Linked DNA regions of Oryzias latipes. The protein of the gene in region 1 binds, or shares a complex with, the protein of each later gene. Links are inferred from orthologs where the notes say so. Each region holds a gene or a part of one and is shown on either strand. Other genes may lie near its edges. The genes, in order: cinp and spata5l1.

Region 1 (12,804 bases):
GGACTCAGACAGGTACCGGCACTCACCTGTGCAAGGGCCACATCACCTGTTCTAGCTTTAAATGTCCCCCCTTTCCCTCCAAGGCTGTACCAGTACAACCTCTTTCCCGCCGCTGAGCTGCCCCCTAAAGACCTGCTCCGTGTCCGTTTCACCTCTGGTGCTCCCAGCTGGATCCAGACTCTTGTCCTCCAGGTAGGCTGACTCCGCCTTCTCAGGGACAGGTGTGTTACAGCCGGATCGGTGTTATGGTCTGTGTTTCTGATGGTTTTGCAGCTCCTCCAGTTCAGAGGCCTCCAGCCAGCTGCCACCTCCTGCCATCCGTGTGGAGACGGTTCCAGCTGACGGGTCTGAAGGTGCAGACCCGGTTCTGACCACCCCTGAAATCTCAGCCCAGATAACTGAGTTGGAGACCATGCTGGGTACATCCTCTGACCCCAGCACAAACACCAAGACCTCTACGCCCGGATCCGCTCAGACCACGGAGCCCGGATCCGCTCAGACCACGGAGCCCGGATCCGCTCAGACCACGGAGCCCGGATCCGCTCAGACATCTGAGCCCGTTTTAATCCATAAGGTAAACTTGACTGAGTCCCCCCCCCAGACCGAGTGTGGAACATGCGAGTCCAAAGAACTGCAGGAGGGTCAGGAGATCTACATCCAGACTGAGGGGCTGACGGTCCAGCTGGCAGAGCCGGGCTCAGACGGGATCGTCATTGTAAATGGACCTGATGGAACCACCATGCACATCCAGACCCCAGAAGGTATTCCTCTGGAGGCGGTCCAAGCTCTGCTCGGCATCGAAGCATCAGATGGAGCCAAAGCTCCTCACTGAACCTCGGTGAGAGCTGAGTAGGAGCAGAACCAGGTCAGAACCATGTATTAAAGAGGCTTTTAAAGTGTCCAGAAGGATGGGAGCAGGTGGAAGGAGAACGTGAACTTCACTTGGATCGGTCGGTCCAATCCGAAAGGCGCTCGTCCGCCTGCAGGGGGCGAGAGGGGTCCTTCCTGCTGGGCCCAGTTCTGTGCAGCTAGTTTCTTTTGGGTTCTCTCGGTTTCCGAGCTGCAGCTCCGCGTCACCATCAGCTGTCGGACGCGTTCTGATTTGCAGACCGACAATCAGTGACCACAAGGGTTCCTGCTGGCGGCGGGAACCTGGTGCTCAGCAGTGCCCCCTGCTGTTTTTTTAGAGGAAGTGGACTCGGCCCCGTCTTCAGTGTTTCCATGTTTGGACTTTAACGTAGACGCTGGTGTTTGAATGTGTATATGTAGATACATGTGTAGAATGAAGTTTAAAAGAGTTGCACTATTTTACTACTTTTGATAAAATCCTGAGCGGAACCAGACGATTGGACCGCTGAGCTGAACGCAGCATGGAGGACGGTCTGTGTCGCGTCAATGGTTCCGTGCTGCATGCATCCCTGTTCCTCCAATAAAGTGGCGTCACACTTGACTCTGTGTAATGATGCATCACCGGGCTTTTCCCAGAACCCGGTTCCAGTCTTCACGCTGGCTCCTGATCAGCCGGAACCCCACCGAAGACGGCTTTCCAGAACAATCTACAGAACAGACCAAAAGTCTGGACACACCTTCTCATTCAAAGAGTTTTCTTTATTTTCATGACTATGAAGGCATCAAAACTATGAATTAACACCTGTGGAATATTGCTAAGATCAGAAATCTACTTTCTAAGAGTGATGCTGAAAAACTCATCCATGCATTTGTTCCGTCGAGGCTGGATTACTGTAACTCCTTGTTAGCAGCGTGTCCTAAGAGTTCCTTAAGAAGTCTCCAGCTTGTTCAGAACGCAGCAGCTAGATTGTTAGCAGGAACCAGCAGAAGAGATCACATCACTCCTGTGTTAGTTTCACTTCACTGGATCCCAGTTGATTCTAGAATCAAGTTCAAGATCCTCCTGTTAACCTAGAAGGCCTTACATGGAATGGCCCCGTCCTATATTAAGGACCTCATAGTCCCTTACCATCCAATCAGAACACTTCACTCACTAAATGCAGGACTGCTTGTGGTTCCTAGAATTAGTCAAAGTACGGTTGGAGGTAGAGCGTTTAGCCACCAAGCCCCTGTTTTATGGAATAGTTCTCCATGTCTGTGTTTGCTGCAGTGATTCATGGACTGTCCCTCTTTCCTTCTTTCCCCTCCTGCTCCTACACCTGGCTGTGGTTCCTGTCTCCGGCTCGACTCCCCCCCCCCCCCCCCCCCGACTCCCCCCCAACCACGGCTGGATGAAGCTCGTCTGCTGGACTTCATATATGTAGTTGTAGATTTAGATAAGTTAATTCTTCTCTAAGAGTTCTGTAGTCACCTGAAACGGTCTTCCAACAGTCTTAAAGGAGTTCCCAGAATGCTTAGCACTTGTTGGCCCTTTTGCCTTCACTCTGCGGTGACTGTGGAGGCCAGGTCATCTGGTGCAGCCCCCCATCACTCTCCTTCTTGGTCAAACAGCCCTTCCACAGCCTGGAGGTGTGTTTGGGGTCATTGTCCTGTTGAAAAGGAAATGATGGTCCAACTAAACCCAAACTGGATGGAATAGCATGACTATGATGCAAGATGCTGTGGTAGCCATGCTGGTTCAGTCTGTCTTCAATTTGGAATAAATCCCCAACAGTGTCACCAGCAAAGCCCCCCCCCACACCATCACACCACCTCTTCCATGCTTCACGGTGGGAACCAGGCGTGTAGAGTCCATCCGTTCACCTTTTCTGCATCCCACAAAGACACGGTGGTTGGAACCAAAAATCTCCCATTTGGACTCATCAGACCAAAGCCCAGATTTCCATGGTCTGATGTCCATTCCTGGTGTTCTTTAGTCCAAACAAGTCTCTTCTGCTTGTTGCCTTTCTTTAGCAGTGGTTTCCTAGCAGATATTCTATCATGAAGGCCTGATTGACACAGTCTCCTTTGAACAGTTGTAGAGATGTGTCTGCTGCTAGAACTCTGTGTGCCATTGACCTGCTCTCTAATCTGAGCTGCTGTTAAGCTGCCATTTCTGAGGCTGCTGACTCGGATGAACTCATCCTCTGCAGCAGAGGAGACTCTTGGTCTTCCTTTCCTGGGGGGGGTCTGCATGTGAGCCAGTTTCTTTGGAGCGCTTGACGGTTTTTGGGACTCACTTGGGGACACTTTCAAAGTTTTCCCAAGTTTTGGGACTGACTGACCTTCATTTCTTAAGGTAATGATGGTCACTTGTTTTTCTGTACTTAGCAGCTTTTTTTTGTCCATAATCCAAATTCTAACAGTCTATCCAGTAGGACTATCAGCTGTGGATCCACCTGACTTCTGCACAACACAACTGATGGTCCCAACCCCATTTATAAGGCCAGAAATCCCACTTAGTAACCCTTGTGCTATCCTAGCCACTTCACCATTGGGAGTGGGTCATCTAGACCCACCAGACAGTGCTCTGAACCTTTTTTCTTCAATGATTTGTGATCTTCACTGGTGTCCATGGATTACATGAAATCTTTCCACCTTTATCCACCTTTGTCATGGTAGGGAGAACACCTCACTGTAAGGGGGGGGGGGGCATAGGATAGCACAAGGGTTACACCTGACAGACACACCTGTGAAGTGAAAACATTTCAGGTGACTACGTCTAGAAGCTCATCCAGAGAAGGACAAGAGTGTGTAATCAAAGCTAAAGGTGGCTACTATGAAGAACCTACAATGTGACATATTCTCAGTTGTTTCACACTTTTTTGTTGTGTATATAATTCCACGTGTTCATTCATAGTTTTAATGCCTTCAGTGTGAATCTATAATTTTCATAGTCATGAAAATAAAGAAAACTCTTTAAATGAGAAGATGTGTCCACACCTTTGGTCTGAACTGTACGTCATGAAGTTCTGGAGAGAGCAGGTCAGGTTGGGCCTGGTTCTGGAAGCGTCACTACAGTGGATCAGGTTCATTTCATTTTAATGTTTACAGATGGAAGCAGAAGGTCCGACCCGCGGGTCACAGTGGGCGGTGTCCGGTTTCCAGCAGCAGAGCCTCTAGGGTGATTCTGCTCTGGGCGGGGATGCAGGGCTGGTGGAGCCAGCAGGACAGGTAGACCATCGAGAGGTCAGAGGTGGCGGCGTGGGCCAGCTCCTGCGAGATGACCCGCCTCAGCTTCAGCTCCTCCGAGAACGCGGCGAGCATGAGCCGCGATGCATCCTCTGAAACAACAGAGGAGCCGTGTTACCATGGAAACCAAAGAGCTGCCACTCCATGGATGGACCTCGGCTTCAGTCGCACATCGCACTGGAAGCTGAGCTACACCGCTGAGCGTGCCGACATCATCAGGCAGACTTGCCAAACTGTTTGGTGGTCCAGCTGTGGAACAGGGGAGCCGCTCCTCCGGCAGAACCAGAACGTAGCTCCTCCAGCTCCCGAAGCGCTTGCTGCGATGCCGCCAGGCGCTCCATCCTGGCCACTATGGCAGTCTGAGCAAAAGAGGACATCAAAGACGCACGTTAGATTCCCAGTCCAGAACTGAGGGAGGGGTGTCAGACGACAGGAACAAAGAATCCTGATTCTTTGCCTCGGGCTTCTCCCTCCATTTAGCCCTGCAGGCGGAGAGTTCTGGAAAATAGAGTCGTCAAATCTGGACGTTGCTACAGTTAGACGACGTCACGAATAGTCGCCGTCAGCGTGTAGCTGCCAGCATTCGGAAAACATGATGTCGCTTTGATAACTTTATAAAATCGTTAAATGACATTTCTGAGCGTCAGACCACGCCCACGTGAAGAAAAGCCTCTCCATGGTACAGCACGCCGCCGAACGCCCTACTGGCGGAGGGTCGCTACGTCTCCCCCTAAACGAACACTCTCGGACACCACTATGGCTCCAAATGCTCCTAAATTTGGAGCAGCAGGGAGGAGCCAGAGGTGTGGCTTTGGGTCTGTATGTTCTGGTCGGTCACAGCAGGTCCAGTTCTGGTTCCGATGCATTCCTCCTCTTTTATTCAGTGCCTTCAGGTCTGAAGGAACTCACCATTTTCTCCACGATGTCCAGCAGTTTGAGGCACTGAGCCTGCAGCTCTGCAGCTCCTGAGGGCTGCAGGGTCGCTGAGGAGGAAGACGATGATGAAGCTTCAGGAACCAGCAGCTGCTCATGTTGAGACCTGAGGAGCACAGGACGGGTCAGAACCTTCTGAGTGACGGGCAGGACATTAGTGCACGCTGAGTGGCAGGAGACACCTGCAGGTCAAACAGGTGTAGTCGGGCAGAACGCTCTGCAGACGGACAGGAAGTGAGCTGAAGGCGCGCAGACATGGACTTCCTGTGATGTCATATGTAGCTACCTGATCTGGAACGGCTCGCCGATTGGTGCCCGCATGTGGGAACGTTGTGTCACTTCCTGTTTGCGCCAACATTGTAGCCATTGAGCAACATTATTTAGATATGCTTCTGTAATTCGTATGTTTGTTCTTCCGAGGTGTAAACTTTGTGATTCAATGTTGAATAATTAAAAAAAATAATTAAAAAGATCAGTTCTGAGTAACATCATTGATATTTTCATTGTCTGTGAAAAAAACAACATACATGTATGTAAAGAGTAAATACATGTACATACAGTGTACATACATGTATATACATACATGCATGTACACTGCTGCATTACAGCGACGGTCTTTTAGTTTTGGGCGCTGTAATCGGGGGGGGGGGGACTTCTCTGCTGTTTTTTTTTAACTTATTCTGTCCAACAGCTGAGCAAACTATGACGGAGTATTAGGGCCACCAAAAAAAATAAATAATAAAATTACGAGTTTTTTTCTCGTAAATGTACGAGATAAAATGTCGTAATTTAACTTTTTTTTTGGTGGCCCTAAAACTCCGTCGTAGCAAACAGATCAGAGCTGAAGGCCTTTTTGTTGGACAGGATTTACTACAAAGAGGTTATAGAACTCCAGAAACCAGAGTGTAGATTTGAATAAACCCCTTTTTGCTACTTTATTATTTTTTATTTATTAGTTACATTTAGTGTGTGTGTGGGGGGGGGGGGAGTAAAGGGAATAGAGGTGAAAAAGTGGGGGATAAAAGCACTGATTTGAATAAGTTATTATATTAAGCTGTAACAATTCTACCAGATCTGCTGGAAAGACAAATGTTACATCCAAGGTGAAAATCTGAAGACATCTGTCCATCAAGACACTGTGGGTTGGGGGGGGGGGGCAGACAGGGAGCAGTGTGCACGTGCAGGTGGGGGTGGAGATACATGCACGCTGCCAAAGTGAACCGTGTGTTCATAAGGGGAACCAGATCCTCCCCAGCCCGACCAGGAGAGGGGGGGAGGGAGTGTCGTAAAGGAGGCTGAGCTGTCGGGAAATGTTAACATTTATTTTGATAATTTAACAATGAATTACAAAGTTTACCATCTTGGAACAACAAACATACGAATTACGGAAGAAAATCTAAATAAAGTTGCTCAATGGCTACAATGTTGGCACAAAGAGGAAGTGATGTCATCTTGGAGGGACCAGTACTTCCTGTGACGGCGTACGGTCTAGAAACACAATCACCTCTTGATGTTGACGATGTTGGTTGCGACGTCAAAGCCGTCCTCGCTCAGTTTGTCCCACCTCAGCATCAAGTTGTGCCAGTCGGCAGCATTATCTCTGACCTTTCGTGCACTTCCTGTGACTGCATGGCACTTCCTGTTTGATGATCTCCCTGTCAAACAAACACCCTGGCATGAGAACCCTGCAGACTTACAAAGCGTGGCTCCGTGGAAAATGCTGTTTTTGGTGTTTTAACGTGTTCTTGTGGCTTTTCTCTGATGATGGAGGACATTTCTAAAGAAATTTAAGATTCAAACTGCATTTCTGAGGATTTCTGTATTCATATCATTGTCATTCAAAAAGCTTGTCAGTGTGATGTGGAAGCCACTACGGCGGGCAGAGGCTCCGCCCCCTTCTGATAATCCACCTGCAGATAAACATCTTTGTTTTCTGGATCTAAACTGTACGCCTGGATAGATTTCTGTTCCACCACTAATATCAGGGTTTGAGGGACTGTAAGCTAGTGGGAGAGAGTGTGAACAGATGCCTGATGGGAAATGGGGGCAGGCTTACTCTGCCCCAAAAGTTCCCCCCAAAACACGGAGGTGAATTTCTAATGAAATCCGGCCGCTCTGCAGAAACTACGTGTTAGAAAACGACATCATGAAAAGACGACCAGGAACGACTAACAAGGTGACCTTCAGTGAAGATCCACTTCATGCCTCACCAGCAGGTTCCCACAGTGAAGCATCATGGGACATATCGTGCTGCAAAGTTGAAGAAGGCGGAGCTTGAAGGGGGTGGGATACAGTAGAAAGAATGTGGTGGAGAGGTGAAGGTGGTGTTTGGATCAATCTAATGAGGGAGGAGAGGCAGACTAATGCTTCATGGTGACTCTAAAGTGTCCCTAGGTGTGAGTGTGCATGAGTGTGTGATTGTGGCCCTGCGACGGACTGCCCACCTGTCCAGGTTGCCTCCCACTTTCACCCACGAGTGGCCAGGATAGGCTCCAGCAGCCCCATGACCCCAAAAGGGAACAAACATGAATGAAAGATGAAGACTAAAGCAGAACATGAGCTCCACCTTTACAGTCTGGAGGTCAAACTAATCTGCTGCTCCCTATAGGGGGCGCTGCAGTGACTCAGCCTCCTCCCTCATGTCCTCCTTCATCCATGAACCTCCTCTTTCCTGGTGTCTCCAGCCTCTCCAGCCTTTCATCATCATCATCATCATCATCCCTGCTTTCATCTCCAGAACATCTATGATCCTGGTTCCAGAGAGAACCTCAGCATCTTCATCTCCTCCTCCTCCTCCTCTCTCTGGCGGCTCTCACCAGTCTGCTACACCTGACCTTTGGTCACACCTGAAACCCTCTTCCACCCGCTGCCCCCCCCCCCCCCCCATCCACCTCTGGACTGTTGAAAAGCCCCCCCCCTCCCTTCTGCTCCCCGGAACCCCGCCGCTTTTCTTCCGTTCCTGTCGTTCACGAACGAAGTGTTCTTTTTTCACGATACTACTCGCTCAAATTCTGCATAGTTGGGGTTGACGAGTCACGTGACCGGATGTTCCCACCGTTTCCAGAAAGGACTCGTGCAGACGCCAGTCCTTCCGTGTTTGGTCCTCTAAGCTGGATCTGATTCCACTCACCTTCCATATCGATCATCTGGACCCCCCCCCCCCCGGAAGGGTTACGTTCTTCTTCTATGGTTAGCACGGTCCACAGCGCCCCCTTCCGGTGTGGGTACCGGATGTTCTCGGGTTGCCGGATGTTCTCGGGGTCCTTCAGGGTCCTTCCAATGAGTTATATCACTAGAGGAGACATCACGTGGTTCCTCATAGGAGGAGAGCACCGCCATCTTGGTGAGGTCAAGTTTTGAAGACCAAACCACTTTTTATAACATTTAATAAAGAGCTCTGTTTTTACTTTCAATCACTTCATTATATGAAAAAGAAGAATGGCTTGAAATTGCTTAGTTTTGTTCAGAAATACAAACTTCACGAGTACCCCTAACTTAACTAGTATTAGACTATTTAGATTTTTTCTATGTTCCTTTATTTTATTTTACTTATGTTTTTATTTATTTGTGTGTTATGTTCATTGTTTCTTTTTTCCCCTCTATTCTTTATTTTCTATGTTAATATATTATGTTTGGCAATGGTGACTGATCTTCGAAGCAATATTCATTACATTGTTATTGTTCGTTGTTAACGTTAATGTCATTGTTAATGTATGATACCGCAATTGTCAATAAAGTTTTTAAAAAAACTTAGCGACGTTAATTCATTGGTCGTGGCAACTTACAGCCAATCAAATAGTGCGACGTCATCATTGGTCGAAGGACCCCGAAGGACCCCGAGAACATCCGGTAACCCGAGAACATCCGGTACCCACCCCGGACGGCGTGTTGTATGCGACCAAAGGACCGCCAGTGCAGAGTGGAGCCACCAAAACAATGGCTGAGATAATAAAAGCTTCTCAAAAAAGTATTTATTTAAAAATTCAAAAAATCCGTAGTTGCAATTATACTCTGACTATCTCAACACAGATAAAACAAGAAACGGAAACAGAAGAAAACAGGAAGGCCGACATCCCAGCTTTCATTCTATTGGCAAATATGTGGGTTAAGATTTTATAGTCGTTATTAAGCAGGGTGGGAGCCGGTTTAGCCCGTGCTGGTTTGCGGCGCCTTCCGTCCGTGAAACCAGGGTTCGACTCCGAGCTGCTCCCTGTTCCCTTCTCTACCTCTGCCGGTTCCAAGCCCGGTTTGAGAAGGTTGCGTCAGGAAGGGCATCCGGCATAAAACATTGCCAAGTTTACCATGCGACTTGTTCGCTGTGGCGACCCCTGATGGGAGAAGCCGAAAGTGGAAGAAGATTAAGCAGGGTAATCGGTCTCAGATTATCAATCAGAAGAGGATCTTTGCCAGATTTAGGAATGAGAGTTCTGATGCCTTGCTTCATAGATGTTGGTAGAGAGTGTGTGTTAGTTATTTCCTTCAGTGTCAGGTAAAGCAGCTCTTTCACATGTTCCCAGAAATGTCTATAAAAATTAGCAGTCAGCCCATCTGAACCTGGAGATTTGTCTAAAGTTAAGCATCTTATAGCATCTTCTACCTCTGACATGGTGATCTCTGCCTCACAAAGCTCTCTGCAGCCATCATCTACTTTAGGGACCAAATGTTTGATTTGTTTTAAAAAGGCTTCAGCATCATGGAGGGCGTATGAGGACGAGTATAACTCACTGTAGAACTGAAACATTTCTTTTGTAATTATTGTAGGATCTGTCACTCCACATCGTTCATTAACAAAGTTTTTACAGTGTTTCGCTCTTGATTTCTTTTTTCCAGTCTACAGAAATATGCAGAACTTTTTGAAGAATGTCCACCACAAGCAAGACTGGGGGAGAAAATACAAATAGAAATCATAGCACAAAACCCTATTATTGAAGAGACATTAAAGATCTGGTGGAGCATGGTCAATAAATACAACATAGGTGGAGATTACAAACTACTTATCTGGCCCTCACAATCTCAAAAATATAGAACGGGACAGACGGACAAATGGAGTGACAGAGGAATGACGGCAGTGTGCATGTCAACAGACGGAAAATTGTTCAAGTCCTTTGAAAGGCTCAAAGAGGAGTTTCAGCTGGATACGGCTGACCTATTCAGGTATTTCCAATTAAGGCACTTCTACAATACGGAGATTAAAAAATATCTTCGTCAAGACGGAAGCAAGTTAATAGAAATGCTGATGGGGTCTTATAAGAAGCCTCACTCAAAGGTTGTTTCCAAACTGTACAGATGCTTGTTAAACTGTAATGGATATAACTCTCTGTATATAAAACAAAAGTGGGAATCAGAATGACAAATTTCACTGTCAGAAGATAAATGGCATTCAATCTGTGGACTACAGCATAGCTCCACATGTTCTAGAAAATGGAGAGAATTTGGATGGAAAAACTTGACAAGGTTTTTTATTAGTCCTCACATAAAGAGTAAACAGCTGGGAACCTCACAACAATGCTGGAGGCTATGTGGGGACTTCAACGTTAACCATTCACACATCTTCTGGTCATGTGGAAATATTTCTCCTTTCTGGAAAATTATGGTCAAAACTTTTCAGGATATCCTTGGATGTGAGATAGTTATGGACCCACAGATATTGTACTTTGGCCTATCGATGGACGTCATACGACCAGAAGACAAATACCTGTTCAAGGTGATGATACTAGCCTGTAAAAAGGCAATAACAAGAAACTGGTTGAAAAGTTTTGAATTGTTTTATTGAACCAGCTCAGTCCACACGAACCCTGATTCCGTGGATGTAGCCCACCGCTCCTCTGTAGTACAGAGTGATGTAGCCCACCGCTCCTCTGTAGTACAGAGTGATGTAGCCCACCGCTCCTCTGTAGTACAGAGTGATGTAGCCCACCGCTCCTCTGTAGTACAGAGTGATGTAGCCCACCGCTCCTCTGTAGTACAGAGTGATGTAGCCCACCGCTCCTCTGTAGTACAGAGTGATGTAGCCCACCGCTCCTCTGTATTACAGAGTGATGTAGCCCACCGCTCCTCTGTAGTACAGAGTGATGTAGCCCACCGCTCCTCTGTAGTACAGAGTGATGTAGCCCACCGCTCCTCTGTAGTACAGAGTGATGTAGCCCACCGCTCCTCTGTAGTACAGAGTGATGTAGCCCACCGCTCCTCTGTAGTACAGAGTGATGTAGCCCACCGCTCCTCTGTAGTACAGAGTGATGTAGCCCACCGCTCCTCTGTAGTACAGAGTGATGTAGTCCACCGCTCCTCTGTAGTACAGAGTGATGTAGTCCACCGCTCCTCTGTAGTACAGAGTGATGTAGCCCACCGCTCCTCTGTAGTACAGAGTGATGTAGTCCACCGCTCCTCTGTAGTACAGAGTGATGTAGCCCACCGCTCCTCTGTAGTACAGAGTGATGTAGCCCACCGCTCCTCTGTAGTACAGAGTGATGTAGCCCACCGCTCCTCTGTAGTACAGAGTGATGTAGCCCACCGCTCCTCTGTAGTACAGAGTGATGTAGCCCACCGCTCCTCTGTAGTACAGAGTGATGTAGCCCACCGCTCCTCTGTAGTACAGAGTGATGTAGCCCACCGCTCCTCTGTAGTACAGAGTGATGTAGCCCACCGCTCCTCTGTAGTACAGAGTGATGTAGCCCACCGCTCCTCTGTAGTACAGAGTGATGTAGCCCACCGCTCCTCTGTAGTACAGAGTGATGTAGCCCACCGCTCCTCTGTAGTACAGAGTGATGTAGCCCACCGCTCCTCTGTAGTACAGAGTGATGTAGTCCACCGCTCCTCTGTAGTACAGAGTGATGTAGCCCACCGCTCCTCTGTAGTACAGAGTGATGTAGCCCACCGCTCCTCTGTAGTACAGAGTGATGTAGCCCACCGCTCCTCTGTAGTACAGAGTGATGTAGCCCACCGCTCCTCTGTAGTACAGAGTGATGTAGCCCACCGCTCCTCTGTAGTACAGAGTGATGTAGTCCACCGCTCCTCTGTAGTACAGAGTGATGTAGCCCACCGCTCCTCTGTAGTACAGAGTGATGTAGTCCACCGCTCCTCTGTAGTACAGAGTGATGTAGCCCACCGCTCCTCTGTAGTACAGAGTGATGTAGCCCACCGCTCCTCTGTAGTACAGAGTGATGTAGCCCACCGCTCCTCTGTAGTACAGAGTGATGTAGCCCACCGCTCCTCTGTAGTACAGAGTGATGTAGCCCACCGCTCCTCTGTAGTACAGAGTGATGTAGCCCACCGCTCCTCTGTAGTACAGAGTGATGTAGCCCACCGCTCCTCTGTAGTACAGAGTGATGTAGCCCACCGCTCCTCTGTAGTACAGAGTGATGTAGCCCACCGCTCCTCTGTAGTACAGAGTGATGTAGCCCACCGCTCCTCTGTAGTACAGAGTGATGTAGCCCACCGCTCCTCTGTAGTACAGAGTGATGTAGTCCACCGCTCCTCTGTAGTACAGAGTGATGTAGCCCACCGCTCCTCTGTAGTACAGAGTGATGTAGCCCACCGCTCCTCTGTAGTACAGAGTGATGTAGCCCACCGCTCCTCTGTAGTACAGAGTGATGTAGCCCACCGCTCCTCTGTAGTACAGAGTGATGTAGCCCACCGCTCCTCTGTAGTACAGAGTGATGTAGCCCACCGCTCCTCTGTAGTACAGAGTGATGTAGCCCACCGCTGCTCTGTAGTACAGAGTGATGTAGCCCACCGCTGCTCTGTAGTACAGAGTGATGTAGTCCACCGCTCCTCTGTAGTACAGAGTGATGT
Region 2 (12,804 bases), on another chromosome or scaffold:
ATTGCAGAATTAGCTTTTGGGGTTTCAGTCCGTTGAGTTTATGGTGATACTTAAAGCAGGAGCTGGCCAGCGGTTTGGGGAGTGTTGGGTAAATGCCACCAACATGTCTATTAGGCTGGTCAGCAGAGATAATCATAAAGTGCTGTTATTAGAGTTTGTGAGTGTAGTAGTTGGACCAACAACAGCAGTTGACACTGTAATACCTCTGGTTAATAAGTGTCTTGATATGGGGAATGCTGAAACCAACAATTGTCCTGTGTGAAATTCCTCTTGAAGCTCCGGCACCAGGCAGCAGTGCTCTCATTGTCAATCTCCCCGAAACTTTTAAAATGGCATTCTTATCTAATTGTGTAGTAACAGATAACAAAAAAAACACATTAAACAGAGTTTTTCAATATTTATTTGAAACCTATAAGTATCACATCCATGACTGAAGAGGGTAATGTTATCTGGGGGTTGTTAGATATGCTTGGATCTGCTGGGCAGTGAGTGAAGGCCTCATATTGCTGAGTGAATCCAGAAAATGTGCACGTTTGATCGTTGAAGCCTTCATGTTTTCCTCCAGTAGCGCCAAAAGAGCAGCCTGGTAAAAAGAAAGGAACAGAAAACAAACTTTGCTTTCATGTATTTTTCTTTCTCTGTAGGTTCGTTCTGCCCTCGTAGAACTGAGGAACATAGAGTTACAATGTAAGATATTTTCAAAATTAAGTAGCAAGACCAAAAACGTTCTAAATGCAGGTGATGGCTGTTGTCCCGGCTGTCGTATTCTCAGTATGCTTCACCCATATCAAGACTTTGCATTTAATAAATAGACTAAATACATTACTTATTTTAAACTTAGACATTTTATTTGCTTTATGGTTTAAGAATTAAATCGTATTAAGCAAAATAAAAACTAAAAGGAAGTGGATGAAACAGCTGTGTATGGGGAGATGTTCTGACACTGATGAGAAGGCAGCCTTCAATAATTACGATAGTTTATTCATTGCTGAAAAAGCCTGGATAAGTGTTTTTTTCTGTTGTCGTGGGATAGAGCAAAAGGGGGAACTAAAGACCCAGTCTGATCAAAGTCTTTTTTTGAGTGTTTTTAACATGTTCTTCTTGAAAATTGCATTTGTGAGTATTTCTTAATTTTTTTCAAAAAAGTCAAATAAAATGCTGTTTTAATAAAAAAGGTCATATTTGTTTAGTAGACAATGTGCTACAAGCTCCCTGCTGCGCTCCATGCTGATGCATCTGCCTGGAAACATCCAGGTGCACGCACGTCTCCGTTGCCCTCATCTGAGCCGGCATCAGTTTTAAAACTTTACGGCTGGATACCTTCATTATAGATCGCCAATTTTGTTGCAACGGTTAAGTCAGTTTGGAGTTGTGAGGGGCTGTAAGTTAGCAGGAAAGCATGTAAACAGAGAGCTCTCAGTTATGGGTGATGGGAAGGGGGCACCAACAGTCTCACCAGCGATTCAGAGGCAAATTTCTAATAAACTTTTGTTTCTCTGCAGAAACTATGTCCTAGAAAACAACACAGATTTTTTTAAATTTTAGCTAAAAACTGCATCATTATAATTTAAAAAAACTGGGAACGGTTTTACAATACATCAAAAGATGATCGCAGTGGATCTTTAAAGGCTTAGATTACTTTTCCCTTCAAACTCCAACATAGAAATGTATATTTGTTGACAGACATTAGTTGCCTGGGACAGTTTTACCTCTTTACACAGATTTTCCAGGTCTGCTCCAGAGTAAAGCTCAGTCTTATCCGCCAGCTCCTCCAGACTCACATCTGCACAGATGGGCATCCGCTTTGTGCACACCCTCAAAATGGACAACCGTGCCTTGAAACACAACACAGGTAGTTGGAGAAACTGGAAATAAAAATGTGGGATTCAACACTTTTTTGTTTGTTTTCTGCTTTCAGATACGAAATGTACCTGTTGATCGGGCGGCGGCACATAAATAATATGGTCCATTCTTCCTGGTCTGAGGAGGGCGCTGTCTAAGCAGTCTGGTCTGTTGGTCGCAGCTACAACCATCACGTCTTTGTTGCACACTTCCTCCCACTCCAACTGTAACAGAGAAAACACAGCTGATGAGATGAGGACTCATTCGGAGCTTTGAAGGCTTTCAGACACGGTTCTTCCTCGCCGGACCTCTTCCTGTGCTCCACTCTTGGTCATTCCCTCTGCCTGCAGAGTCTTCTCTGCCCCCCTCCTCTCGGTTGTTTTTACACCGATCCCGTCCATCTCATTCAGCAGCACGGACAGGAGACGCGTCTGCTCGCTGTTCTGTGTCTCGTTGGTGGACCGGGAGCCAATCAGAGAGTCGATCTCGTCGAGGAACAGGATGCTGGGAGCACAGGCGCGGGCCTGGCGAAACAGCTGCAGATGCACAGACAGAAGCACACGCATGGACCCAACCGCAGGAAGGAATCAAATCTGTCGCAGACTATATCAAACCTTTAGAGCCTGACCTGAGCTAAGGCCGCCTCTGAGTCGCCGACGTAAGAAGAGTAGAGGTCAGCACTGCTGACCGACAGGAAAGCACAGCTGGATGAGGTGGCTGCAGCTTTAACCAGGGTGGTCTTTGCACACCCCGGGGGTCCGAATAGCAACACACCCCGGGGCCGTGACAGACCCAGACGAACAAACGCCTCAGGGTGTTTCATTGGCCACTCAATACTCTGGTGCACAAGATAAAAGGATAATCATATACATTCATTAGCTACATCATTTTGACAATGCCACACTTTTATTTACCTGTTTTAGTTTGAGTTTGACTTCATCCAGGCCTCCTATGTGCTCCCAAAGCACCCGAGGGAGATCTGTCCTGCCTAGACTGCTGCGCAGGCAGGAAGGACTCACGACCTTCAGGGCCTCCTCGAAGTGCCGCATGACCACCTTCTGCTCTGCTGAACCCTGACAGACAACAAGACAGAAAAAAGGAGGCACAGCCAAAAATTACTAACAAAACTAACACTTGTACTAATGCTGAATGCCCCGAATGACTTTTTAAAATGGAACGGTATTTTTTTTTTCGTTGAACAGAATTCAAATGGCTGTGAAGACTTTGGAGAAACATTTTGCAGCTAATTGGGTTATAGATCAATACTGAGCGGATCTTCACAGCCTTCAGGCAACAACACCATACTGCTGTTGGAGCCACCGGATGGCTTTTCAGGCCAACGTTAGGACAACGGCTGCTGGTAAACACAATTCACTGTTCAATCCACTAATAATCTCAGGTTCGAAGGTGTACCATTTAATCCAGAAAGCGTCTTTAACCTGCAGCTCATGTCAACTGGATTGACTAATAATAATAATAATCCTTCCTGGAAACTTCCTCCCTCACCACTGAGCAGGTCAAAGGTCAATTTTCTGTCCATTCGACAATGAGGGATCAGTATACAGTGTTCCCTCGCAAAACCATGGTTCCTCTTTTGTATCTTTGGCCCATATTTTTCTGTGCTATTTTGCACATTTTTTTTCTTTAACAGTCCACCGTGTTAATCAATCTCCTCCCTGCCGTGTCTCCTGTCTATTAAATTTCCAAATGTGATCAGACTTAAGAATTTTATTGCAAAACAGAATAATCTGAAAATTAAACCACCACACACCAAATTATTTAAGATTTTAAAAAAAAGCCATCACTGTAAATTGCACAGAAGTGGAAACATAATGATTTGGGCTTTTTATGCAATAGCCAAGACATGGCCACATTCCAGTAATCCAGATTATTTCAGAGGCAGAAGTGTGGCCATGTCTTTCACAGATTATTTTTGACTAGGCTAACTGAAAGGTTTAAACTAGGCTTGCACAATAAATCGGAAATTCATCGTTATCGCCATATTGCATAAGACGGCGACAATAGCGATAAATAGTTACCTTAAATGTTATCTAAAAAATCTTATGGCAGCTTGAATTATTTAACAAATCAAATAAATCCATTGGATGGGCTTCTACAGATTGTTGACCAATCAGATGGAGCCCTCTGTTGTTAGGGGTTCGCCTCCTTTAGATGAGTCATTTGGAGTACAAGTTATGTTGACTCTTATTTAAATTAAATTGTTGCAGCAAAATAGAAATTAGGCTTTTGTTTTGTTTTTTACTACTTGTCTATGTATTGCAAATTATCGTCATTGCAATATTGATCACTTATAGCGCAAATTGCGAGTTTCCTCATATCCTCTAGCCCTAATTTAACCCTTTCTGAGATCTTCCAATGATAAACAGTGACAGTTCATTTATGTTAGCAGAGACTGTTAACTGCTGATTCGTGATACAATCGGTTGGGCTGCTGTTTGTGTAATGTCATTTGATGCAAAAAGACTTAATTTTTTTATATTTTGTTTGGATTAATCCACAGATGGCAACTCTTTTACCATTTCTATAACTCAGCATTTTAATTCGGTGAAAAACCTCGACCTAAAAGGGTTTTGTGCATTCTGCGGGGTTTGATGGGGAGCTGGTGTGTTTGTCTGTGTTTACCTTTGCGTTTTCTCTCACAGCGTGCATGATTGCCTCCCTGCACAGCGCGTTCAGGTCGGCTCCGACGTATCCAGTCGTTCTTTGTGCGAGCTCAGCCAGGTTCACAGTGGGGCACACAGGAATCTTCTCAAACAAAACCTTTAGGATGGCCAACCTCTGAGTCAAGGTGGGAACACCGATGACGACCTTATATAAAACAAAAGAAATCAGATGAATCCACGGGCAGAATGACATGAACTTGCATAAGCAGATAAACGGAAACCCCTACCTCTTTGTCAAACCTTCCGGGCCGGCGCAGCGCTGGGTCTAAACTGTCTGGTCTGTTTGTGGCTCCAACGACCAGGAAGCGGTCAGACTGATCTATTCCGTCCATGAGGGTGAGAAGCTGAGCCACCAGCCGGTTCTCCGGCGCCGACGAGGCAGTTCTCCTGGGAAACAGTGAGTCCAGCTCATCCAGAAACAGAACGCAGGGGCCGTCCTCTGCTGCGGAGCGAGCACGCTCAAACACGGCTCTCAGCGCCGCCTCGCTCTCGCCGGGTCGGGAACCCACCAACTGACAAGACCATTCCAAATACCCATCTGTTTATGAGGGTGTTTTCTTCAGAATAAGATATTTTCTTAATCATAAACATTTCAAAATAAAAGGAGAAGCTATGATATTGATCATGAAGCAACAGTGAATATTAACATCACTATTCTAGAAATCAAAACTAATCAAAAAAATTTGATTAGTTAAGATTTATTTTAATTGTAAAGCAGAAAGAGATTTATTTTCTCTGTAATGTACATTATTTTAAGGAAGATTTTGTTACATCAAACAACCACAAAGTATTTACAAAACAAACAGAAAATGTTAGTGTATCATTTGACGTCCTTGGATGATTTATTTTCTGCTTGAATTCTTGGCAGTCTAAGAGACCACCAATGTTCTTTCCAAAACATCACATCTTGTGTAAAAAGTAAATAAAATATGAATATAACGATGCAAAAACGGTTTAATTTAGGACAACATAACACAAAAAATACTTTTTTTTCTCCAAATGTTGAAATAAAAGGACTGTCTGCAATTTAATCAAACCACACAGAGGAGACCAGATGTTGCAAAATTCTGAAAGTTTTGGACTTGTGAAATGTTCTGCTATTCTTCATCTACACAGAATTCTGGTTGCTTAACTGCAGGGTCTAATGCATTTTCTGGTTTCTTGCTAAACCATATTTCTCCAGGGTAGCAGCATCAGAATGAACTGGCAGCACTTAAACAAACAAACTTCTTTCTCCAGAAACGTTGCAGATGCCAAACAGCCACATCCTGCTGAAGGATTTCTGGGACCAAAGGAAAATGTCCCACTTTGCATCAGCCCATTTGGAACTGACCTTCCTTAACATAATGCCTCTTCTTTTTTGGCATCAACTTTGTCCACAAAGATAATATTTCTTTCATTTATGACCCATTATTGCTGCTTACTAATCAGAGAGATAATTATCTCCTCAGTTTCAATGCGTGTGAACCCATATCTGTTGTTTGATGTTCCTATATGAAACAAACAACCATAAAACTTTAGACACTGGTTAAGCTATTGATATTGTGATATTATCACATATTTCCTTGTGCCAGGAAAGTAGAATTAAAACTTCTTTTAAGAAAGACAGAATCTTTAAGTTCATTTGTAAGCTAGTTAGATGGTTGTAACGTGGTTTGGCCTTTACACTTTAAACACAATTTTTAAAGACCTACTAATGAAAATTGTGTTTTTAACATGTTCTTATGGCATTTTTCACATATACAAAGACAATTGAGCTTAAAATTGCATTTCTGAGTATGTTTTAATCAAATTGCACTGTTTGAAAACGCTTGTAGCGGTGTAGAAGCTACAATCTGCAGTCTACAAGCTCCTTGCTCCACTCCATTCTGATGCATCACCATCTTTATGAAATCAGGTCTTTAAACCACTAATTAACGAAAACAGTTTTTCATAACCACACAAAATTGGCTTGGGAACAAAAATATGACAAATAATTGGCTCTGTGATCAATCATGCTCAAATTGATATTGAATTGAGTTGTCAACTAGCCCAATGAGTAACAATCATGCATTTATAGATCTGATCATCAATCTAGGGTTGGCGTTTGAAGCTAAATGAGATTCAGTTTTTGACTTTCCCAAAACATGAAAGCAATGAGACATTAAGGAGTTGTACTGGTACCTCTGGGCCTCTGACCGGAACCAGACTGGCTCCCACTTCTCCTGCAACCTTCTGCACTAACTGAGTCTTGCCCACCCCAGGAGGCCCCACCAGCAGCATGCCTCTGGGACAGGTCACCCCAACTGAGCTCAGGATTCTTGGATAGAGCAGTGGCAGCTGCAGCATCTCCTTCAGGGATGCAGTCACCTACAGAAGAGGTACGAATAAACGTAATGCAAAGATGGAGGTTAAATCCTCAGTGAGTGTCTGACCTCTTCCAATCCTCCCAGTGGGATGGTCTGCTGGTCCTGCAGCTGACTCCTGAAATGCCTGACAGTCTGGATGTTGGAGATCTCCACACTGGTCTTTGGGGTGATCATTCCTGCGGTTGCAGAATCTGGATTTATGCCGTCTACTACAGCATATTTGATGTCTATATCGAAATGTTCCAGGCTTATCACGAAGTCTTTGTGGACAGTGACTCCCTTCAGCATGTCCTTTACAAGCTCGTGAACGATGTGAAGGTTGGTGTGCTTCTTAAACCCCACAGTCTGAACAACCACGGTCACTTTAACGCCTCGAAGTTTGGGGCAGGGCAGAGGTGTGAGCTGAGCTGCTTCGATGTTCAAGCGCGGAGGAAGAGGAAAGATCATCAAACCAGGAGTGAAACATTTGCGGTCCATCTGCAGAAATCCTTCTGCCAAGTCGGAGCGGGGCCATGCGGTGCACAGGCAGCTCCCCCCGGGAACATGCACCAACAGCGGGGAGCCCAAACTCAGACCCAGCGCCGACATCAACCCCGGACCCAGCCTGCACCTCTGCGAGCCTCGGTCCGAGGGATCCACGGCCAGCAACATCAGAGGATCATGAGAGTCCATCAGGTAATCTGCCAGTGATACTCTGTCACTCACTCAGAACGGAATAAGTAACACACAGCAGCTGCATGCAGGGTTAAGACTAGCGAAAGGGCGCGCGGCAAGCTAGATGTACAAAATTTAAAAAAAAAAACGACATATAAAAAAACATAGAACTGTAATATAATACTACACCAGAAAACGCCTGATACCAATCAATATCTGTTAAAAACAAGCATGGAAGCGGCGTTAGCTGCAGATGAGTGGCTAATGTTTACAAATCCACATGGTCCCGGAAAAATCAAGATGGCCAACCAAAACCGCTTCCTGCGTGAGAGGAAATACGATTAAAGCACAACTTCTAGTCATTGTAAGTAACTTACCGAATTCCGAAATACTGTACTTTCTAGTATTTAAGCTGAAGTTAAGTACCGATATTTTATTTAAAATGTACTTATATAGACCTATAGAAATTACTCCTTTTAACAAACACATGCACGCATATACAGAAAGTATCTTCTGTGCACATTAAAATGTTTGTGTATTGAAGATATTTTCTAATTAGAATGTACTAGTATTTTTTTTAATGTAGTATAAGGAGTTGGAACCTTTAGATATAATTTAGGGGATCTATAAGAAATGTTTTCCTGTGTTGAAAATTTTTAAATTAAATTACATATCCCCCCTCCAAAGTATTTAAGGACATATATTGCAAAAAATTTAACATTTTAAGAAAGGGGTCATAATTGTTCAACATTTTGTATGCTAGCGGCCCCATGACGCCATCCTGTGCTCATAAAAGAAACTACAACCTGTTGGGGAAAAAAAGGAGAGAGAAAAAAAAACCTTCCTTCTTAGAAATTCTCTTCGGAACATTTAAAAAAAGTATAAAAAGTGTTTCTTTGTTACTCCAGACAGGCTGGTCATTAGCACGACACTTAACTATAGCTGCGTTTTTTTTAAATAATAAAAGTCACGTGGGTTCTATTTATATCAAAAGATATGGGAACTGCGGAAGGTCGGCAGTCCGTCTGCGTCTGCGCGAGGGCACGCGGGGGTTTTCGGGTAGGACGTCTCACAGGTGACCCTGATGCCCATGAAGGGTTGAATTTTTAAACTACACCTTTTTGAAAATTTCAAAGGCAAGTCTGATAATAATGACATTAGCCAATTTTTTTTTAATATAAAAAGGGATTCATGGGAATTAGACTATTAAAGTTAATCAAAGCAATAGACTATTAAAGTCTCTGAATGAGTAAATAACTTTTTATCCACTTTTGTTGCACAAATATATTTTTTAGGCCACAAGTTATCCTCTGTCCTGCATCTGAGAGCTCTTTCCTTTAATCTATGCTCACACCTTCAGGCCAAACTTGGCACACTTTCCTTCCGTCATAACTGCAGGCAGGAGTGTAATCAACCCAGGGCCTGTGGGAGCGTGTCCTGCAGAGAAGTGTCACTCTCCTGTCTGTAGACGGCCCGAGCGCGCTACCAGGACATTTGGGATTTAAGACTCACTGAGGAGCTTACAATGTCCTTTGTTGTTTGAGGGCAAATGCAGACGCTGTGCTTAAGTGTCGTCTATCTCTGCTTGTTGGTGTTCACAGTAGAGAGGCAGCAGGAGTCCCCCGGGGCGGACGCTCGGTGAACATGTCGACCCTCCTGCGGTCCATCTCCAGCTCCTGTCTAGCTCTGTCCCATAGAAGAGCCCATCAGCAGACGCTTGGAAGGAGGCATTTCAGGGTTTTCCCAGCATTATGGGACCAAAAAGCTCCTAGAGGTAGGACATGTTGCACTCTTAGGACATCTGTCATTTGAACTTTGCTGCATTTCTGGTCAAGGATCTATACCTAAACAGTTTACTTGAATACAACCCTTTTCCCCCAGCGAAAAGTGGAAACATCCATGTTAGTTTGCCTGCTGTTGCTTAAGATGTTTCCCAAAATAGGGCTGCTGTTGTGGAGCAGCTTCCCAGGCTGACCTGTAGGTGCTACCAACATGTTAGAGCGAGTGAGAGGTCACTTTGAGGTGACATGTCAAACTTAAATTGCTGCCTGGCTGAGTCTGCTGGCAGATGTTTGCTCATTGAAAACCAGAGCACTTGTTGCAGAGTGTCTTGTGAGAATTTTACGAGACACAAAAAGCTTTAAAGTTTCAGTTTTCAGACCCGGCTCTCAGCGTGTGTGCATGGTGGCCGAGCGCCAATCACCTGCTAATTATGTCACTGTGACGGAGAGGTCGCCATGCCATTTACGGAGAGAAATGTGCAACCTGACGCCGCTCCAGGCCACGCTGTCCCAGCATGCATGTAATGTGGCCTAAAAACCAAACAAATGTTTCCTATAACATCTGATTTGTGTTCAGTCTGAAAGGGTTTGCTTTGGTAAAGGTGCAGAATTACTTCTCAGATTGTTTGTGTCTTTAGGTGTGCCCTACAAGGACCTGGTGGTTGGAGTTCCCAAGGAGACGGCGCATAGTGAACGGCGTGTGGCGTTGTCTCCTGCTGGGGTTCAGGCGCTGGTCAAACAGGGCTTCAAGGTTCAGGTTGAGAGTGGAGCTGGAGATGAATCCAAGTTCTCTGATCAGCAGTACAAAGATGCAGGGGCCACTATTACCGACGTTAAGGGAGCTCTGGGATCCGATTTGGTCCTGAAGGTTGTAGCTGTCATTTATCCGTTATTCCCTTTGTTCACGTCTCTTGCGTTTACGATGACTTTGTTCTGTCTTCAGGTTCGAGCCCCTAGTTTGAGCGAAGCCGATCTGCTGAAGCCCAAGTCCACATTGGTGAGCTTCATCTATCCAGCCCAGAACCCAGAGCTGATGGCGAAGCTCTCAGAGAGGCAGAGCAATGTGTTGGCCATGGACCAGGTGCCCAGAGTGACCATCGCTCAGGGCTATGACGCTCTCAGCTCCATGGCTAACATCGCTGGGTAACAAAGCATCCAGATCCTCACAGATTCATGCCCGTGAAGCTTTTCAGGAATGTGGGAAAATGAGAGCTGGGCTTTAAATTTTGCAGGTACAAGGCTGTTGTTTTGGCTGCCAACCACTTTGGCCGGTTCTTTACCGGACAGATCACAGCGGCTGGAAAAGTACCACCTGCTAAGGTACCTGGCAGCTGCGTAAATACTTTCATTTACAAATCAAAAGCTTGGTGTGGACTGTGTCCGGAGATGTTTTTGTTTTCCCACAGGTCTTGGTTATTGGAGGCGGAGTGGCTGGTTTAGCAGCGGCGGGGGCCGCCAAGTCAATGGGAGCCATCGTCAGGGGGTTTGACACCAGGTATGAGATGAAAGAGAAAAAAACACATTTCATTTGAGACTACAGACTCGGTGTTGATGTATTTGGTTATTTGACGAAAAGCGGACTGTTTCTTGGCTGTCAGGCCAGCAGCTCTGGAGCAGTTCAAGTCCTTTGGGGCAGAGCCTTTGGAAGTGGAGATCAAAGAGTCTGGCGAGGGGGTTGGAGGTTACGCCAAAGAGATGTCGAAAGAGTTTATTGAGGCTGAGATGGCCCTTTTCGCAAAGCAGTGTAAGGAAGTCGACATTCTGATCAGCACTGCCCTGATTCCAGGTCAGTCGCACTGAAATGTTCTGGCTCTTTTGTCTTTAAGATTAAATGTTTCAAACTTCATCACAGCGGTGGTTTTCCAAACCAAGTAAAACATACAAACTTGATTTATTAAAGTGATGAATGTTCTGTTTTTCTTTCATATTATAATATTTTACCATTGATGCCAAAACTGCAAGAGTTTTCACTTTGCCTTTTTTTTTTTACCAGAACTTAGTTAACTGGAAACGCTCAAAGTCCCACTCTGACCATCTTTTCATCTATTTTTAAATTGTTCCTAGTGGTTCTTTTCTAATGATTACGCTGTTTTTCGCCAAAATAAAACCTGTCATTTTCTATAGTTTCTGCAGAGCAGGAGGGGTTCGTTAGAGTTGTAGGCAGGACTGTTGCTGTGAAGTGAGCCTGTCCCCATTTCCCATCATCCATCTGTATATATTCTCTCCCACTAGCTTACAGCCCCCCCACACCCTTAACCTAACATTATCGGTGCAACAAATATGGCGAGCAATATTGGAGCTAGCCAGATGTCAGCTCAGACGACGAAAACAGAGCCGTTAGTCTGCAAACTCATGTTTCAGAATGGAGCCGAGCAGAGAGCTTGCGGCTTCCACGTCTCAGCTGCAAGCTTTTTCAAACTACAATTCTTAGTCTGCTCCTAATTCCCATCCATCTGAATAAAGACATACTCAGAAATACAGTTTTAAGCTTTATTTTCTTTTATATAAGTCCTCCAACATGAGAAAAATGACACAAGAACATGTTAAAAACACCAAAAACCCATTTTTTATTGGAGTGGGTCTTTAACTGAAGAAAATCTAAAAATAATGCAAATTAAAAAAATAAAATTCCAGTTCTAAGACATTTAACTTAAAATAATTACATTGTTGGAGCTTTTGTTTATTATTTGAAATAATGCACCTCTTTATTATTTGGTATATTTATATGAAGAATTAGGGACATTTGTGATTTTAGTGTGTGAATTTACCTATTGATGGGCTTTAGCCTGTTGGCGAAAATGTATAAATAAAAAGTAAAGTAATTACCACATAGTAAGTTAACTTTCTATTCTCACACAAAATTTTCAGATAACTTTTCTATACTTCTATAGAAAGATCCCACATTGCCGCAGAGATAGACAGCGTCAAGTTAGACAAACAACCATTTACTCTTAGGAGAGAAGTTCAAACTCCTTCTCCAGGGCTCACACTGTAAATAAGAGCCTATAAAATGTGTATATGATTTTATGGAGCCAGGTTTAATTTCATTTTCTTTTTTCACATGGACTCTTGTGACAGTTTGGAAACTCATCTGAAGCGCTTTTTAAACGTTAGTGTTTCATAAGAATCCTGTAACTCCAGAGGATGAGAGCAATCATGTGATTTTATTATCTGTTACATATTTTTAGGAGTACATTTTTTTTATCTCCAAAATTTCACAAAATTATAACCGATTCATAGTTGACGTGGTTGGGGATGTAATCAATACTTGCATCTGAAATATTTAGTTTCGTTTTGAGCAGAAGTTAAATGAATGTTGTTGAACTGTTTGCAAAAAAAAAAGTCTTTCAATGAAATTGTTTTTAAATACAAGCACAATTCTTTTAATGCATTTGACTCCTTGCAGGAAAGAGGGCTCCTATTCTGATTAAGAAGGACTTTGTGGATTCGATGAGGGATGGCTCAGTCGTGGTGGATCTGGCTGCTGAAGCTGGGG

The links.
Region 2: cinp (region 1) and spata5l1 share a complex: the UniProt entries of both Homo sapiens proteins name them as parts of the 55LCC heterohexameric ATPase complex. The link is inferred for Oryzias latipes from reciprocal best matches to the Homo sapiens genes CINP and AFG2B.

Annotation. Positions count from the first base shown.
Region 1 is NC_019880.2:156,680-169,483, forward strand, and holds cinp (cyclin-dependent kinase 2-interacting protein), read right to left. Parts: upstream 7,442-12,804; 5' UTR 7,258-7,441; coding exon 7,224-7,257; intron 6,669-7,223; coding exon 6,518-6,668; intron 5,120-6,517; coding exon 4,990-5,119; intron 4,440-4,989; coding exon 4,310-4,439; intron 4,173-4,309; coding exon 3,970-4,172; 3' UTR 3,914-3,969; downstream 1-3,913. Other genes in the region: znf839 (zinc finger protein 839), read left to right, coding at 1-12, 84-192, 274-832. UniProt on the Homo sapiens protein: Component of the DNA replication complex, which interacts with two kinases, CDK2 and CDC7, thereby providing a functional and physical link between CDK2 and CDC7 during firing of the origins of replication.
Region 2 is NC_019861.2:12,886,432-12,899,235, reverse strand, and holds spata5l1 (spermatogenesis-associated protein 5-like protein 1), read right to left. Parts: upstream 7,878-12,804; 5' UTR 7,546-7,877; coding exon 6,940-7,545; intron 6,875-6,939; coding exon 6,689-6,874; intron 5,038-6,688; coding exon 4,753-5,037; intron 4,671-4,752; coding exon 4,485-4,670; intron 2,916-4,484; coding exon 2,757-2,915; intron 2,681-2,756; coding exon 2,471-2,680; intron 2,379-2,470; coding exon 2,151-2,378; intron 2,067-2,150; coding exon 1,932-2,066; intron 1,836-1,931; coding exon 1,710-1,835; intron 584-1,709; coding exon 446-583; 3' UTR 383-445; downstream 1-382. Other genes in the region: NAD(P) transhydrogenase, mitochondrial, read left to right, coding at 9,172-9,301, 9,947-10,176, 10,252-10,451, 10,541-10,628, 10,715-10,803, 10,907-11,094, 12,715-12,804. UniProt on the Homo sapiens protein: ATP-dependent chaperone part of the 55LCC heterohexameric ATPase complex which is chromatin-associated and promotes replisome proteostasis to maintain replication fork progression and genome stability.